Nothobranchius furzeri: one gene and its partners. The protein of the gene in region 3 purifies or fractionates together with the protein of the main gene of each other region. This does not show direct contact. Links are inferred from orthologs where the notes say so. Each region holds a gene or a part of one and is shown on either strand. Other genes may lie near its edges.

Region 1 (5,155 bases), on a different chromosome or scaffold from region 3:
CTTCAAAATCCAGATTTCATACCTCCATTTTATGTTCTTTGACTAACTGGGATCTTTTTATATAATGGGTTTTATTTCTCCATATAAATTTGTATATAATAGCGTTAATATTTTTCACTGTTTTTGGAGCGATATAAAGGGATTGACATGGATAGATCAATTGGGAAATACCCTCAGACTTGGACAATAAATGTCAACCCAAAATAGAAAGATCTCTGCTAAGCCATTGGTTCAGAGATTTTTGTATTTGATCAGTTTTTTCTTTCATGTTGATTTCTTCTCTTTGTTTTTCGTCTGCAATTATCTTAACTCGTAGATATTTTATTTCTTTTTTAACAGGAATTGACATTATCTCATTATCTGTGCATTCATACAGTGAAAGTAACTCACATTTTTTTGTGTTCAGACGAAGACCTGATGCTTTGGAAAAAATTGAAATAATTTGTAATGCCTTGTTAACCATAGATTTATCCTTTAGAAAAAAAAACTGTGTCATCTGCAAACTGACTTAAACGAAATTCATAATCAAAAAAATTTATACCCTGAACATTTGGATGATGTATTACTAGATATGCTAATAGTTGTGTACATAAGATAAACAGCTTGGGGCTGATTGGACATCCTTGTCTTATTCCACAAGTTATATTTATTCTTTTTGTTAGTCCTGGGTTTAAGGTAACATAACTGATAAAATCAGTATAGAACATTTTTATCACTGAACAAATTTTTTTTTTCCAAAACCGAAATATTCTAGGGTGGAAAATAAAAAAATATGTTCTATAGAATCAAAAGCTTTGAAATAGTCTATAAATAAAATGAGGCTGTCAGTTTCCAAAATAGACCTATAATCCAGCATATCCAGTACTAATCTTACATTATTATGTATGCTTCTTCCTTTTATAAACGCAGACTAATTATCATCTACTATTTCATCAATTACCGTTTCCAGTCTTTCTGCATATAATAGCGCTAATAATTTATAATCATTGCACAACAGAGTAATTGGCCTCCAGTTGTCTAAGTCTGTTGAATCTTTTTTTTGGTTTGGGAAGAAGGGTTATTATTCCAGTTTTCATTGTTGGGGTAAGACATCCTTCATTTATACACTCATTAAATGTACTTAATAACAATTCTTGAACATCTTCCCAAAAAATTTTAAGAAATTCCTAGGTCAATCCATCAATACCGGGCGATTTCCCATTTTTCATTTTTTTTCAGGGAATTTACTACTTCTTTAATATTCAAATCATCCTCCAGATTTTTTCTGTCTTCCTCTCCAATAGATTTAATATTGTTCTTTATCTGAGTGAAGAAGGATTTACATTCCTCTTCACAGAAATTAGAACTATATAGGTCTGAGTAAAAACGTTGAACTTCCTCCTTTATTTGATTTTGGTCTACTATTACAGTGTCATTTTTTCTTAATTTGCATATTTTCTTTTTGTATTGTCTAGACTTTTCTAATCCATAAAAATATGTTGAGTTCTTTTCGCCTTCTTCAATCCACTTAGCCCTGGATCTTACAAAGGCTCCGTCCATTCGCTTTTTCTATATAAATTTCGTCAAGCTGTTTTTGGAGCAAGTTTAGCTCTCTTAGTTCATCCTCCGTGTTATTAATTTTATCACAGAGTAGGATGATTCTTTTTAGCAGTTCTTTTCTTATAACTGCTAAGAACTGCTGAAGGCAGTTTTCTAGTTAAAAAAAAACTTTACAGAAGTACCGGAAGAGGAGGAGACTTCTGACAATATCCGGTTCATGGTAGTTTCCTTCCTCGTACAGCGCATTGCGTCTCCGTTGGTTTTGTTTTATTACAAATTCTCCCGAACATCAATTTTGTGAAGAAGTAGTTTTCATATTCGGTTGAAGAGGGAGACATCAGCAGACCGCAAAGATGCCGCGAATTATGATAAAGGGTGGCGTTTGGCGCAACACTGAGGTACGTGTTTACGGTTAGCACGACGCTAACCCTTAAACAGTAATCCAATGCATCAGTTAGCATGAAGCTAGTTACCCATAACTGGATACAGTTTACATTGCTAGGTTAGTTTATATGTGACTGGGCAGCGACATTAAGCAGTTTATTACGTACCATTAAGCTTGTCTTGTAATTTTCTTAACTAACTGATAACCACGTGATAAGTAAATAATGATCTTGGCTTCGTTTGAAAAAGCACGTTCTCGCGAGAGAAACTTGTAATCATAAAGTAAGTAAAAGTTAAACTGGAAAAAAAAAAAAGACCAGAAACCAAATCTAAAAAATTAAGGTTACATAAAAAATATTTCTTGTCTCTAATAATTTCGATTTTTCAACGGCAGGATAGCTTTACCTAGCGAACCCTAGCTAGCCTAAATTCTTACCTTTATTACTAAATTTAACTCTCATTGTTTTACAAACCGAATCCTTGGCATTGTTGCTGAAGTACTTATAGGGCAGTCACACATTAGTAGTCTGTACACATATGCATACTTTTTGGGAGGGCGCAAGACCAAAAAAACATCTTTTAATAAACAAACCAAGAGAAAACTAAAATTTCTGGTTATGATTACACATTTTATCTGGTGATTTTCAATTTTTTCTCCATCAGTTATTTTATCTATTCAGAATCCGACGTACAAACAGTGATGGACATAAACAAAAAACAAGTGGAAATGATCATATTTGGACAGTCTGACTACCATTCTGGTCTCTCATATTCATTCATCTGCTAGATTGCTGTGTGTCATTTTTTTTCAAACTCCATCTTTAAATCTGACGAACAGGTCGGTCGTCAAGACAACAGTCATCAAACTTGTACTTATTAACAAAGTTAAGTCCTATATATCCCATTTGAGACAGCAGTTCATCCCTTTATCACATCTTCCCTGGAGTTTTCTACATTGCACACACACGTCTCTGTCTGTCTTTGTTCAAATGGCATTAAGTTGTTCTGCATTTGACGGGAAGGAAAACGCATCCCACTTGTACTGGTTTCCATACACTGGATTTCTGTCCAGTTAAGGGGTTCAGTTTAAACTTCTGTCCCATGTTTTATTTTCCTACTCCTTTGTTGTACCACATTACCTCCCAGAGCTTCTCCACCATCTCTCTCCAGCCAGAGCTTTAGCATTCACACATCAGTTACTTTTGGAGCCTCTGAGGTCTAGACTCAGAACTACAGGTTGACCCATATTGTTTTTTTATTGCTGAGACTGATATGAGGCGGTCATGGTCAGCCAATGGCCGATAAGTGCTGCTTATTTTTTGGAGCTGATTTTATGGCCGATATCTTGGTGTTTGGCACCTTCTCTGAATGCTAAATGATCACTAAAAACAACAGTGAACGCACAACATTTCTGAACCTAAACTGTTAACACTGCATTTAACTAACTGTTGAATCTTAATTTTGTGCACAGCTCAGTGTTAAAATCAAACATTTTAACAGGATTAGTGAAAATGCCAATAAACTGACCAAGTACTAAATATACAAAACAGGCAAAAGAGAAATGCAAGTTGATAATGTTTGACAATGTTTTTAAGCAGATGTTTTTCAGGGATGCAAATTTACACATAAATATACACAACTTTAGAATAGGAAGATTAATTCTACTGAATAAATGTATAATGATTTAATAATCGATAACACTGAAAACACCAGCAACATCTAAAGTATATTCAGTCTTTAACTCACTATATCTTGAAGAAAGGAAGAAATCTATCTTCTATAAAGTGCCTCTCAAGAAAAAAGAGGCACTTCACAAAAATTAAAACATAAAAAAGATTATTTTTAAGTACATCTTCATGTAAAATATGAATGAAACTCTTCAGTGCTCTTGACTCAGCAGCATCTTCTCTTTAACCCCAGAGATGAGGAACGCTCAGGTTGTCGTTTTATTTTTTACCTTTGTCCGCTCACCAGCCGCCTGCTGATATAACCGCCATGCTGGATCTGACTTTTAGTGAGCCATCAGACAGGAACTTAACAGGAGAAACAGTTGTTAGTATTTGTGTTGAGCATCAGTCTTCAGTCTGTAGCAGAAAGAGCAGACGGCACCAGCACTGTATATATTAACTCATTCACTGCCAGCTGTTTTCTGATCGGTAAAGCCCTTCGCTGCCAGCGTTTCTCACCGTTTTTACAGTTTTTTTAAGAGTCACAGAACGTTGCGCGCTAGGATGATGACGATGCCAAAACAAAGAGTAGACTCACCTCTTACATCAGGAAGAATCCGCGCGTTGCGAGCATTATCCATTCTTTCATAATCCGTTGATGAATTGTGATTGTGAATTGCGGCAGAAGCTTTTCCGGTTTGCGCCTCACTTTTTTTTACCGCGGCGGCCCAGAAAGATCTAACACATGGGTTTTCTGCTTCCTGATCACGTGACGTATGCGGATGAAAATCGGCTTTAGAGCTGAAATGTTTGTTCTCACGGTGCGGGGGTCTCGTTCCGACGCCCAAACAGTATGCAAATGACTACTTTAGCCGTCATTGGCAGTGAATGAGTTAAATGTATCAAATATTAGAGAAACTATATAAAAACCAGTGCACCCAAACTATTCACTAGTGTTACTGACTGATGTTAGCCTAGGGAACTAGACCAAATTCTTGCTTTGCAAAGTTTGGTCTAGGCACGCTCCATTGGAACCTCCGCAGCTCCTACCAGGACTCTGGCTAGCCAAGCACAGCTCTCTAGAGGGGTTTCAAACGCACAAAGAGCTGTGATTGGTCCATAATGGTGGGCCAATCATAGTGCTCTATCTGCTTAGTGAACAAATCACAGAGCTTTATCCGCTTTGTGGGCCAATCAGGGCACTCGATATGCCTGGTGGGTGGGATGATGCAACAGAGTGAAACAAGAGTATGTCACATTCATTGTCCAGTGGAATGCGGAGATCATTTGAAAGACAACGGTAGAACCCGCCCCACAACCGAGAGCCGTCAATGGAGCATGGCCAGACTAAATAATACATTTATTTAGTCTGGCTTGCCAGGCTAGCTGATGTTAGATTTTACGTGGAAATGAACCATACAGATTAAAAGTAGTCTCTAGTCAGAACACGTCTCTGCTGTTTCTGATCACAGATTACACACTAAGCAGAAAAACACACGAGCTTGCATTTATATAGCGAACATTTTCTGTGTTTTCTTCACTGTGTCATCCAAGTAAAAACTGCA
Region 2 (5,442 bases), on a different chromosome or scaffold from region 3:
GTTGTGAGGCGTTTTACAGCGTTAGACAGTAAAACAGCCTTTTAATAGTAAAAAAATGACTTTTTCTGAATTTCTCCTGTATTTAAAAATTGAAAGCGTACAACTATGCCGCGTTATATTCACCTGGACACAGCTCGTCTGTATATTTTTCACCGCAGAGTTGTCCTTTTTTGAATGAGGAACATAGTTATGGGTTTGTGCCGTTTTTCTCTTAACTAGAACATTCTTATAAACAGACGTGCTGAATTTGGCAAGCGCATGATTCACAACACGGAGGAGATTCACGATTGCATCTAGTCAATCAGAAGTAGAACACCGTAGACTGACGCGACAAAAAAACATGTTTAACATCCACTATAACGAACTCAGCTAAAACACTAAGTCCAGCTTGTTTATTTTCTGTTACTTACCGGGCTGGCTCTTCCAAATGACGGCTCACTTGACCGCGGTGCTCTTCCTCAGCCCCCACGTTTTCGTCTCAAATGTTCACTTAGGGACGTCGTGCTTCCGTGCCATGCTAGATGGTTTTTGCATATTTTGCCTTTTCAAGGCATCTAGACTGAAGTGCTCCCATACTCGTGAGGTTTTTGTCCGGGGTTTCTCTAAAGTTTTGTCGCTTCTATTTTCTTCCGTATTTCCTCTTGTTCCGCCATCTCTCACAGCAAGATGAGCGTCAGTAACGTGATACGTCATGAAAACCGAGGGCACTCATTGGCTCATTTCTTCTTCTACGGCTCCACTGGTAGATCAGTGGCTCATTACTGCCACACACTGGCGGCAAATTTAACAGCTTGTAACCGATGTCAGATTGTGGTAAAAAATAGACTTTATGCGGTAAAATATGATTATTAAACAACTAATCGATGACTAAAAAGGTTGTTAACTATTTTAATAATCGATTATAATCGATTAGTTGTTTCAGCTCTAGACAAGACAGAGCTGAAAACGGCTTGTGCATGCGTCGGTCACTGCCTCCGCTCAGGTTTTTTTTTTAATGTATTTATTTTAACTCTCTCACTCACACACACACACCTCAGTCAACATAGTTTTGTTTAACCGTGTGTGGGAAAAATGCCAACAATGTGAGGAAAAAATCAGTTTAATCAAATTAAAATAAATTCTAGTATTTCATATTTCCTAGTTCCTACTGCATGAGTTCAGATGCATTTATTCATGCACTTAAACATTAATGTTCTGATTTTACTGAAAAACTTGTTCTGTAATGGTTTCTTTACTATTGTGATCAAAAATATTTAATCTCAGTTCTGAGGCTGCTCTGTAAATAGTTTTCAGATAAACAATACACATATCAACTTCTGATCAATCCAATTTCAGATTTAAAATAATGCATTGATGTAAACCACACCCACTAATTTACAAATAATAAATAAGAGGTGCATTCATCTGTGTATCTCCTTTGATCCGCATTAGTGATATTTTCAGCACCAGAACAATGAAGCAAAGAAACAGATTCCTGAGTTTGTTAGTAATTTTATTTATTAGGTGCATCTAACCTGTTCTATTTTTCTCTGAAATGAGATCAAATCAGTGCTTCTATGGGTTGTCTCCTCTCTGCACTAGAAAAATTTACTTTATTATAATGTTCACTGTAATGCATCTTGATGTTCTTAACACAAATTAAATCAAAGATATGGGTCAATAATGCCAAATATGTAAATTTTTGTTTCAGTCATTTTTATACTGGCTTAAAAATACTTCATTAAGTCTACTAAGCAGGGGTGTAGAAGGGTTTTTAATATTAACATAAAGGTGAGACTTGTCAATCATTCTCCCCCCAGCACCACCACCGGAAAAATTCCCAGGGGAAACGCTTGTCTGACAGCTAGAGCCGATTCCAACAGGGTTCTAGTCGAGTCAACTCATTACACCAGATGAAACCACAAACATGTCACTAAACAGAGCAGATAACAAATGCTTTATAGCACAGAGTCAATGTGATCAGAATAGGAGGTCGTCTTGGCTGTGGTCAAGTGGGGTCATTCCCCAGACGGCTACTGGTCGTGGTCAGGCAGAACGCCGAGACCCCTCTAGCAGCCGCAGGAGAAGCTCTGATCCAGAACGGAGCAGAAGCAAAGACCACAACAGGCCCACAGCACTCAGAGAATGGATAAACCAGTTCATCATATCACATGACCAGGGTCAAACATGTCAGCAGGCACAAACAGGAGGAGGGGTTCCTGACCTTTAATAACAAGGGCCACTGGGAGGAGTCCAAAGTGGGGACTTTGGTGTCTGGCTGGATTAAAAACTCTTGACTCTCTTGGATCTCCTGTTGAATAAAAACATCAGTTTGTTCAACAGGAAGAGAATCTCCAAATAGATCTTAAGTTGAATAAATTCACACCAACCCCAACATCTTCAGCCACTCTCTTCGACTTCTTCTTCTTCTTTGTGGATGCTGCAAAATAAAAACCAAACTAAAGTAGCATAAATCCTTCCTAAAATCAGAATTCCAGGATTTTCTCAGAGAACAACAATCTACCGGGCCCTAAGTGGTGTTTTGTCACTAGCCAGACTGCTCAAGTGTTCACCAATATTCTAGACGAGTCTTCATGCCCACCGGGAACTGAACATTGCATTATAACAGGTTACTGGTCCCAGGTAACCTCAGGTTAAAGGTCACTAACTCCAGGGACCATACTACACCTGCTTTTTAAAAGAGTGTTCAACAGGTTTATCCAGGCGATTACCTTCATGTGTGCAGGAGCAGCAAACCTGCAGCACGTGCAGCATGGTGGCCCTGGAGATGGGCCCTGCTCCAGTGCAACTCTGAGCCCAAAAGGGCCTTTCAGTGGAAAAAGTACGACCGAAAGAAAGTATTTTATCTGAAGGAACAGAAATTTAAATCCCTGTTGCAGTTTGGTAAATTTGGAAAACTGTAAATGAATGATATAGAGCCCACGTGGCCTGCAGCTGCAGCACGTGGTGGAGCGCACGTGGCTGCTAGCGGAGCTAACAGGCCACTGACCGAGAACCCGCTCTCTCAAAGTTAACTACACTAAACGCTGCTGGAGCTTATGAAGAAAACACGAGTCCACAGAGCAAACCCTTAGTTCTGTTATTGAATTAAACCCAACTACTAAAGCATGTTGGACACGTGGAGGGATTTGTTTGTTTTAACTGGCTCAGACGCTGCCAAACCTCCTCATAGACCAACTTAGGAATTTTTTTTACTGCGATTCCTTCTGCGTAAAACACGCTTGTACGTGCACGTGGACGTGTTGTTAATAAAATCCCTGACTCAGCAGAATTATGTTCAAACTTAGCAATAAATTAAACACAGACTGTCGCTTACAAAACGTGCTCGACACTCACCAGCTTCGTCCGCCATCTTCTAATGAAAGATTCTTCTTCTGCTTGATGTTTTATGGCGGCTGGCACGAAAGTACTTGGTGCACTACCGCCACCAACTGGTCACAGAGCAGAAATGAAACCAAATGAGGTAAATAAATAAATGAATTTGCTATTTAAATACAATTTTTACATAATTAAATATAAAATGGAAAAAAATAAATGTGAAAAATAATTCTGACTTTTCTTTCGGTGGTTCTAATGCTCTTCTTTAATTAACTAGCATCCTGGGGGGAAATAAACACTAAAAAAGGCCAGTGATATTTGGAGTCAGATAAGTCTGTCATTAAGTAGTGAGACACAGATCACTGGTGGGCCTCTAGTGCAATAGTGTGTTAAAAAACGGAAAAAACATGAGATGACTGCGGATTTTAGAAGAAACGGGAACATGCTAAATGCTTGTTCCATCCTGGGAGAGAAGGTGGAGGTGGCGGAGGAACATAAATACCTCAGTGTCCACCCGGACGGCAGACGGGACGGATCAGTGTTTACAGTTAACCCCAAAATCCCACTATCTCCGCGTAGTGGAATTTGAGTGTCCACAGCTGCAGATCCAATAAAAATACTTCCTTTTTTATTGTTTGATAAACGTGTGTCCACTCCAGGCCAGGTGGGGGCAGTAATGCTGCACTGCTACCACCCACAAACGTCGAAGAAGAAGAAGACTCAGCATAATTCAGCTGGATTTTATGCGAGAACTTCAGGATCAGATGGAAGGTGAGGATCTTCTTGATTAGTGAAGTAGTTTTTGTTCAGGTCTGAATAACCTGCAGCTTCCGGGTTAAAACATTCTGATGACGTGTGGATGTTTTACTGCAGGGTTGTAAATGAAACCCTGCAGAACCCAGCTGCCTCATCAACATTCACTAGGACAACTTATTTAGATCGTTCCTGTCCGCAGGTATTCTGTCCCATTACTCGTGGCCACACTGCTCCAGGTGTTCTTTCTCCAGATGTTTCTGCTCTTATCACAGATGTTCAACAGCATCTAGATCAGTTCAGAACAGTCCAGTGCTTGGTTCTGATCCATTCTCGGTGTTCCTAGCTGTGTTTTCTGATGATAGACTCTGGACAGTAGATTTGGCTCCAGAGGGTCTTGGTGGTCCTGGGATTGGACCCTGAACCTTTTCAGGAATCCTTGGTCCAGGTGCAGTGAGTCCAGAACAGAACTGATCTTCCTCCATCTTCTACAGTGTTTCTAGAGCCGATTTCCATCTCATCAATCAAAATGATGCTCTCCCTGAAGCTCGTCAGTGTGGTTTTTGGTGATCTCTAGTCTGTTCTTTTGGGTTTTTCTGTCACCAGGAATCCTCCTGGGTCTTCAACCCCTCATGGTGGGATCAGAAAGGCTTCAACAGTCCTGGATGCATTGTTTGTCTGATTCTTCCTTCTGATCAACCTGAGAGTGGATCTCATCTCGGATCCACGTTCTTAGTGGTTGCCCACATTCCCATCAACCTCCTACTTTATTAAAATTGTCAGCTGAGGTCCCAGGACCATGAAGCTGCCTGGAGACGGTCTATGAGCCGTGGCCTTTAATACCCCTGACCTTTGTGAGCTCATCTGACAGCTAATGTTTCTGTGGTCCAGGTTCAGTTTGGCCCAACCAGCTGCAGCATGACTCCTCAAACGGGTCAGATGATGGCTGATGTGAAGTGAAGTTAAACCAAAAGGACAAATGTCTCTTTAAGGGGGACAAACCTGTCTACCCAAGCTAGTTTAGCAGATCTTTGTATGACAAACAAATCATTTCTGTGTGTGTGTGTGTGTGCTCCGTTTCACTGCATGAAAGGAGAAATAACACAAATTCACGGTTTCTAGGTGATTCTTGTGACACCTCAGCGACCCCATCAAACAGGAGGTGCACCTGGATCACAGGAAGTGCAAGGAAGATCAGAGACAACGCCGCTGACTGGCACAACCTGATGCTCAGGTGGGACAGGCTGAACGACGAAGGATTCAATTTGGCAGCAAGTATCGTCAACATGAGGCAGTGAGTTTGTTATTTAGGTTATTTTTCTCTAAGTTAGCCCCCCCCCCCCCACACACACACACTAGATACCCTCTGGG
Region 3 (3,458 bases):
GACAATAGAGCCACGCATTCGAATGGAGCTGCGCCCGAGCCCCTCTTTGTGCTTGCAGAAGTCCTGCTATTGTCCCTCGCTGCTCTGATGTCTTTCTTCATCTCCCTTCTCTCTGCTGTAGTGCGCCACAGACCCCACACAAGAAAGTACCTGTGGGAGAACAGCCTGACGTAGCCATGTGGTTGGTGCGAGTCACTGAGGGGGGTAGGGGGCGGTCACATGTGAGGAAGGAAGTGGACGTCCACATTTCCACTCTTATGTCATTTGGTTTTCACACAGTTTAAAAGGCTTCTGCAGCTCGGCTGTAGTCTCTACCGAACGAGGCTTAGTCTGCAGCTCTGTTCTGTTTCTAATCCCAAACAGCGTCTCCACAGATTGATGGCTTGTCTATTTGGAAATCTGACTTTGGCAAAATGGTTCCTCTTACAATAAATGGCTTTGTTTTGATTCCTGGAGGTTTCTGCAAATAAAGGAGTAATGAATGGATGCAGCTTTGCGCCAGGTGGAATCAAAGAAAGCAGATTACGGTCTATCAAAACAAAGTTGCCAAATTAATGGACGGCTCTTTCAGTGTAAACAGTTTTCAGTGTGCGTGACAATTTGATCCCATGGTCCCACCTAGGGATTTTCATCCAGGGGTTTCCCATGACGTGTTAACCAGGATTTATCCTCAAACCTGCACCACACCTTCCCTTCCTTTATCTCTGGTGTTTCTGTGGGGGGTGGGGATGTTTTTTCTGCACATGGTGAGCTCACTTCAGGTGAGTGTTGTGTCAATAAAAGAAGTAATTCAGCATTTAAACCCCCCCCCTGCACATTTTAAGGCTGATTTTGTTTGTAGTGAAGAAAAAGGGAAACATGCTAAAACTCTGCTATCAGGTGGAGATATCAATCATTCCTGTTTTCCTTCAGTTTCTCCGTCTTTCTGCCAAACAAATATCCGAGGAATGTCACCCTGATCCCCCCCCCACCCCCCCAGCTCACACAGAGAGGCTTCACCACCTCGTCACCCCACCCCCAACACGAGCACCCACCCCTGCATCCTGTAGTTTTTTTAGGGTGGTGGTCAGTGTGTTAGTGGAGCTTTGTGATGTGGGTGGGAAGAGGAGTGGGGGGTGGGGGCTGCGGTGAGGAATGCTGTTCCTCCGGTGGGGGGGTATCTTCAGGTTCTCTGCTGTAGAAAATGAAGCTTTAAGGTGCTTTTGTCATGCGTGATCCTGTTTAGGAACCACTGGGTGTAAACAATGAGTTCTATCGGGGGGGGGGGGGGGGAATACCTGATAAGTGCAGTTCTGATCATATCACACAACAAGAGGAGGTCAAAGTCTCCACAATCTGGAGGCTTGTCTAACATCTAATTATCACCAATCAGCTGTTGCATAAACAAAGGCAGGATGGAACCAAAAATAGTCCTTTAACCTCTTATGGCGTCAAATCAGAGATACTTTCTTAATCCCAGAGGGAAATTCTTGGTCATTGGTTTGTTTCTTTGTTTCGCTTCAGAGCAAGTTGCATATGGAAGGTTTCCGCAGCTTGAAGGAAGGTGAAGCTGTCGAGTTTACCTTCAAAAAGTCGTCCAAGGGCCTGGAGTCTCAGCGGGTCACCGGGCCCGGAGGAATCCACTGTGTGGGCAGCGAGAGGAGGCCCAAAGGCAAAAAGGTCCAGAAGCGCCGCTCAAAGGGAGACAGGTGAGCTGGAAAAGTTTGGAATGTCTAAAGACTTAGGCTGTTTTTACAAAACAAGGCCGTTGATTTGCCACAACGCTGAACCGGCGTTGGGCCGCTTATAAGTAGTCAAACGGACAATTACTGCAATGTTACTACCAAGCAAGGCGGAACGAATGTCGCAAAATTCGCGCATCGCCATGCCGCGTTTAGGAGACGCACTGTTGCGGTAATATTACGCTGATTTGGCGGCACGGTGTGTCTCGTAACAAGTTCACTGGCTTGTAATCAGCTCTACTTCTGCCAAGAGAAATCCAACAATTCCCTTTAAGTCATGGATTAGTGATGAGGTAGACATCCACATACGCCTGGCTAAAGATGTTAGGGAAATTCTTCAGAAAGACCCTTTTCCTCAGGAATATTTGAGCTTGTTTATTTTTAAAACAACAATGAGGTATAGCTTTAATCATCGATCCAAAAGCAATCTCCCCATTCCGCTTGTGGCCATGTGTAAAATGATGTTGCTTTCATTTCCTTTTTTTGGGGCCTTTTCCCTCAAACCCAACCCCCCACTCCCAGCCCCGGCAAGGGGTCACATCAGCGGGCCTGACGTGTGACCCGGATCAATAACTGTTTAAATCTGCTGCTCCCTGGTGAATTCAAACCTGCCCGCTTTCTCCCTTCTGTTGCTAAACCTCTGTCACCGAGAAAAGAGGGCCAGATTTTCTAAATGACCCAAAAAGTGTCAAGTAAACAAAACCGGAGGGAAGCTTGGGTCTGTTTTTGAAGCTTGGGTACGACGTGAGGTTAAGGACGCCTCAACTTCACCTAATGTCAGCTGTGATTACAACCAGAGAGAAGTGAGTGTGAGAACAAGGATCATTACCGCTTCAAAGAGTCCTGGGAGGCTGCTGTGGTTCAATACGTCTTCATAAACCTCCCAGATTCGTGGATAAGGCTCCTTCATCATGTTTCATTATGCAGCGCCGGGCGGAGCTTTCTGGATCTGCTGCTGTGTAAAGGAGCATAGAAAACCCCTTTTGAGTGGTGTAATCGGTTGTTTTTGCTAGTTTTTAACTTTAGCCCGCATTTCATAAAATACCTGTGTGTGTGTGTGTGTGTGTGTGTGCGTGTGTGCGCGTGTGTGTGTGTGTGTGTGTATCATTGGGGGAAAAGTTCCTGTCCATTTAATTGATAACAGATGCAAGAGCTCAGGCAAAGGGGGTGAAGGGTCATTGTTGTCATGACAACCGTGTATGAATAAAAGGAAGAGAGCTGGGGGCTCTGAGAGAATTTGGGGGAGGAGGTGGGAGGTCAGGGTTCAGAGGTCATTACTGCAGCTTTTTTAGACAAAGGGACCACTTCCACTTTCCTCCTGATGGATGCTGATGTAGGGAGCTGCTGTGATGTGACGGTGAAGACCTTGACACCACTCAAACGCCCAACGTTACAAAGTCCCCCCCCCCCCCCCCCGCCTGACAGCCGCCCCGTCCAAACCTCATCTGCTACCACAAAAGTGTCAGAAGTGGGAGGGGGTCCGCAAAGTCAAAGAATTACCGCCTGACGCCCACAGTCCATCTGTCTTCCAGCCCTGTACGCGTGGCCATTCTATAGATTATGTCGGAACCGTGGTGGCCGATGGCACCCCGATGGCTCCAAATGACCCTAACACGGCGTTCACTTTCTAAAGTTCAATGGCGACGGAATGGATGCCACACTTTGGTACAATGGAGGCCAGTCAGATGCTTCTGTCAGTGTCAAACTGATAAATAAGACAAGCTGTGCACACTAAGG

What was found. The genes of interacting proteins can lie anywhere in the genome.
Region 1: the proteins of lin28aa (region 3) and cdc5l purify together in Homo sapiens (affinity purification with mass spectrometry; 3 studies listed by BioGRID and IntAct, with this or other methods). This does not show direct contact. The link is inferred for Nothobranchius furzeri from reciprocal best matches to the Homo sapiens genes LIN28A and CDC5L.
Region 2: the proteins of lin28aa (region 3) and dkc1 purify together in Homo sapiens (affinity purification with mass spectrometry; 3 studies listed by BioGRID and IntAct, with this or other methods). This does not show direct contact. The link is inferred for Nothobranchius furzeri from reciprocal best matches to the Homo sapiens genes LIN28A and DKC1.

Annotation. Positions count from the first base shown.
Region 1 is NC_091752.1:40,105,251-40,110,405, forward strand, and holds the start of cdc5l (cell division cycle 5-like protein), read left to right. Parts: upstream 1-1,724; 5' UTR 1,725-1,892; coding exon 1,893-1,937; intron 1,938-5,155.
Region 2 is NC_091758.1:16,263,004-16,268,445, forward strand, and holds the start of dkc1 (H/ACA ribonucleoprotein complex subunit DKC1), read right to left. Parts: upstream 3,432-5,442; 5' UTR 3,353-3,431; coding exon 3,337-3,352; intron 2,420-3,336; coding exon 2,370-2,419; intron 2,291-2,369; coding exon 2,204-2,290; intron 643-2,203; exon of another isoform or gene 411-642; intron 1-410. Other genes in the region: cinp (cyclin-dependent kinase 2-interacting protein), read left to right, coding at 4,062-4,089, 5,194-5,365.
Region 3 is NC_091745.1:71,963,722-71,967,179, forward strand, and holds part of lin28aa (protein lin-28 homolog A), read left to right. Parts: intron 1-1,503; coding exon 1,504-1,688; intron 1,689-3,458. UniProt on the Homo sapiens protein: RNA-binding protein that inhibits processing of pre-let-7 miRNAs and regulates translation of mRNAs that control developmental timing, pluripotency and metabolism.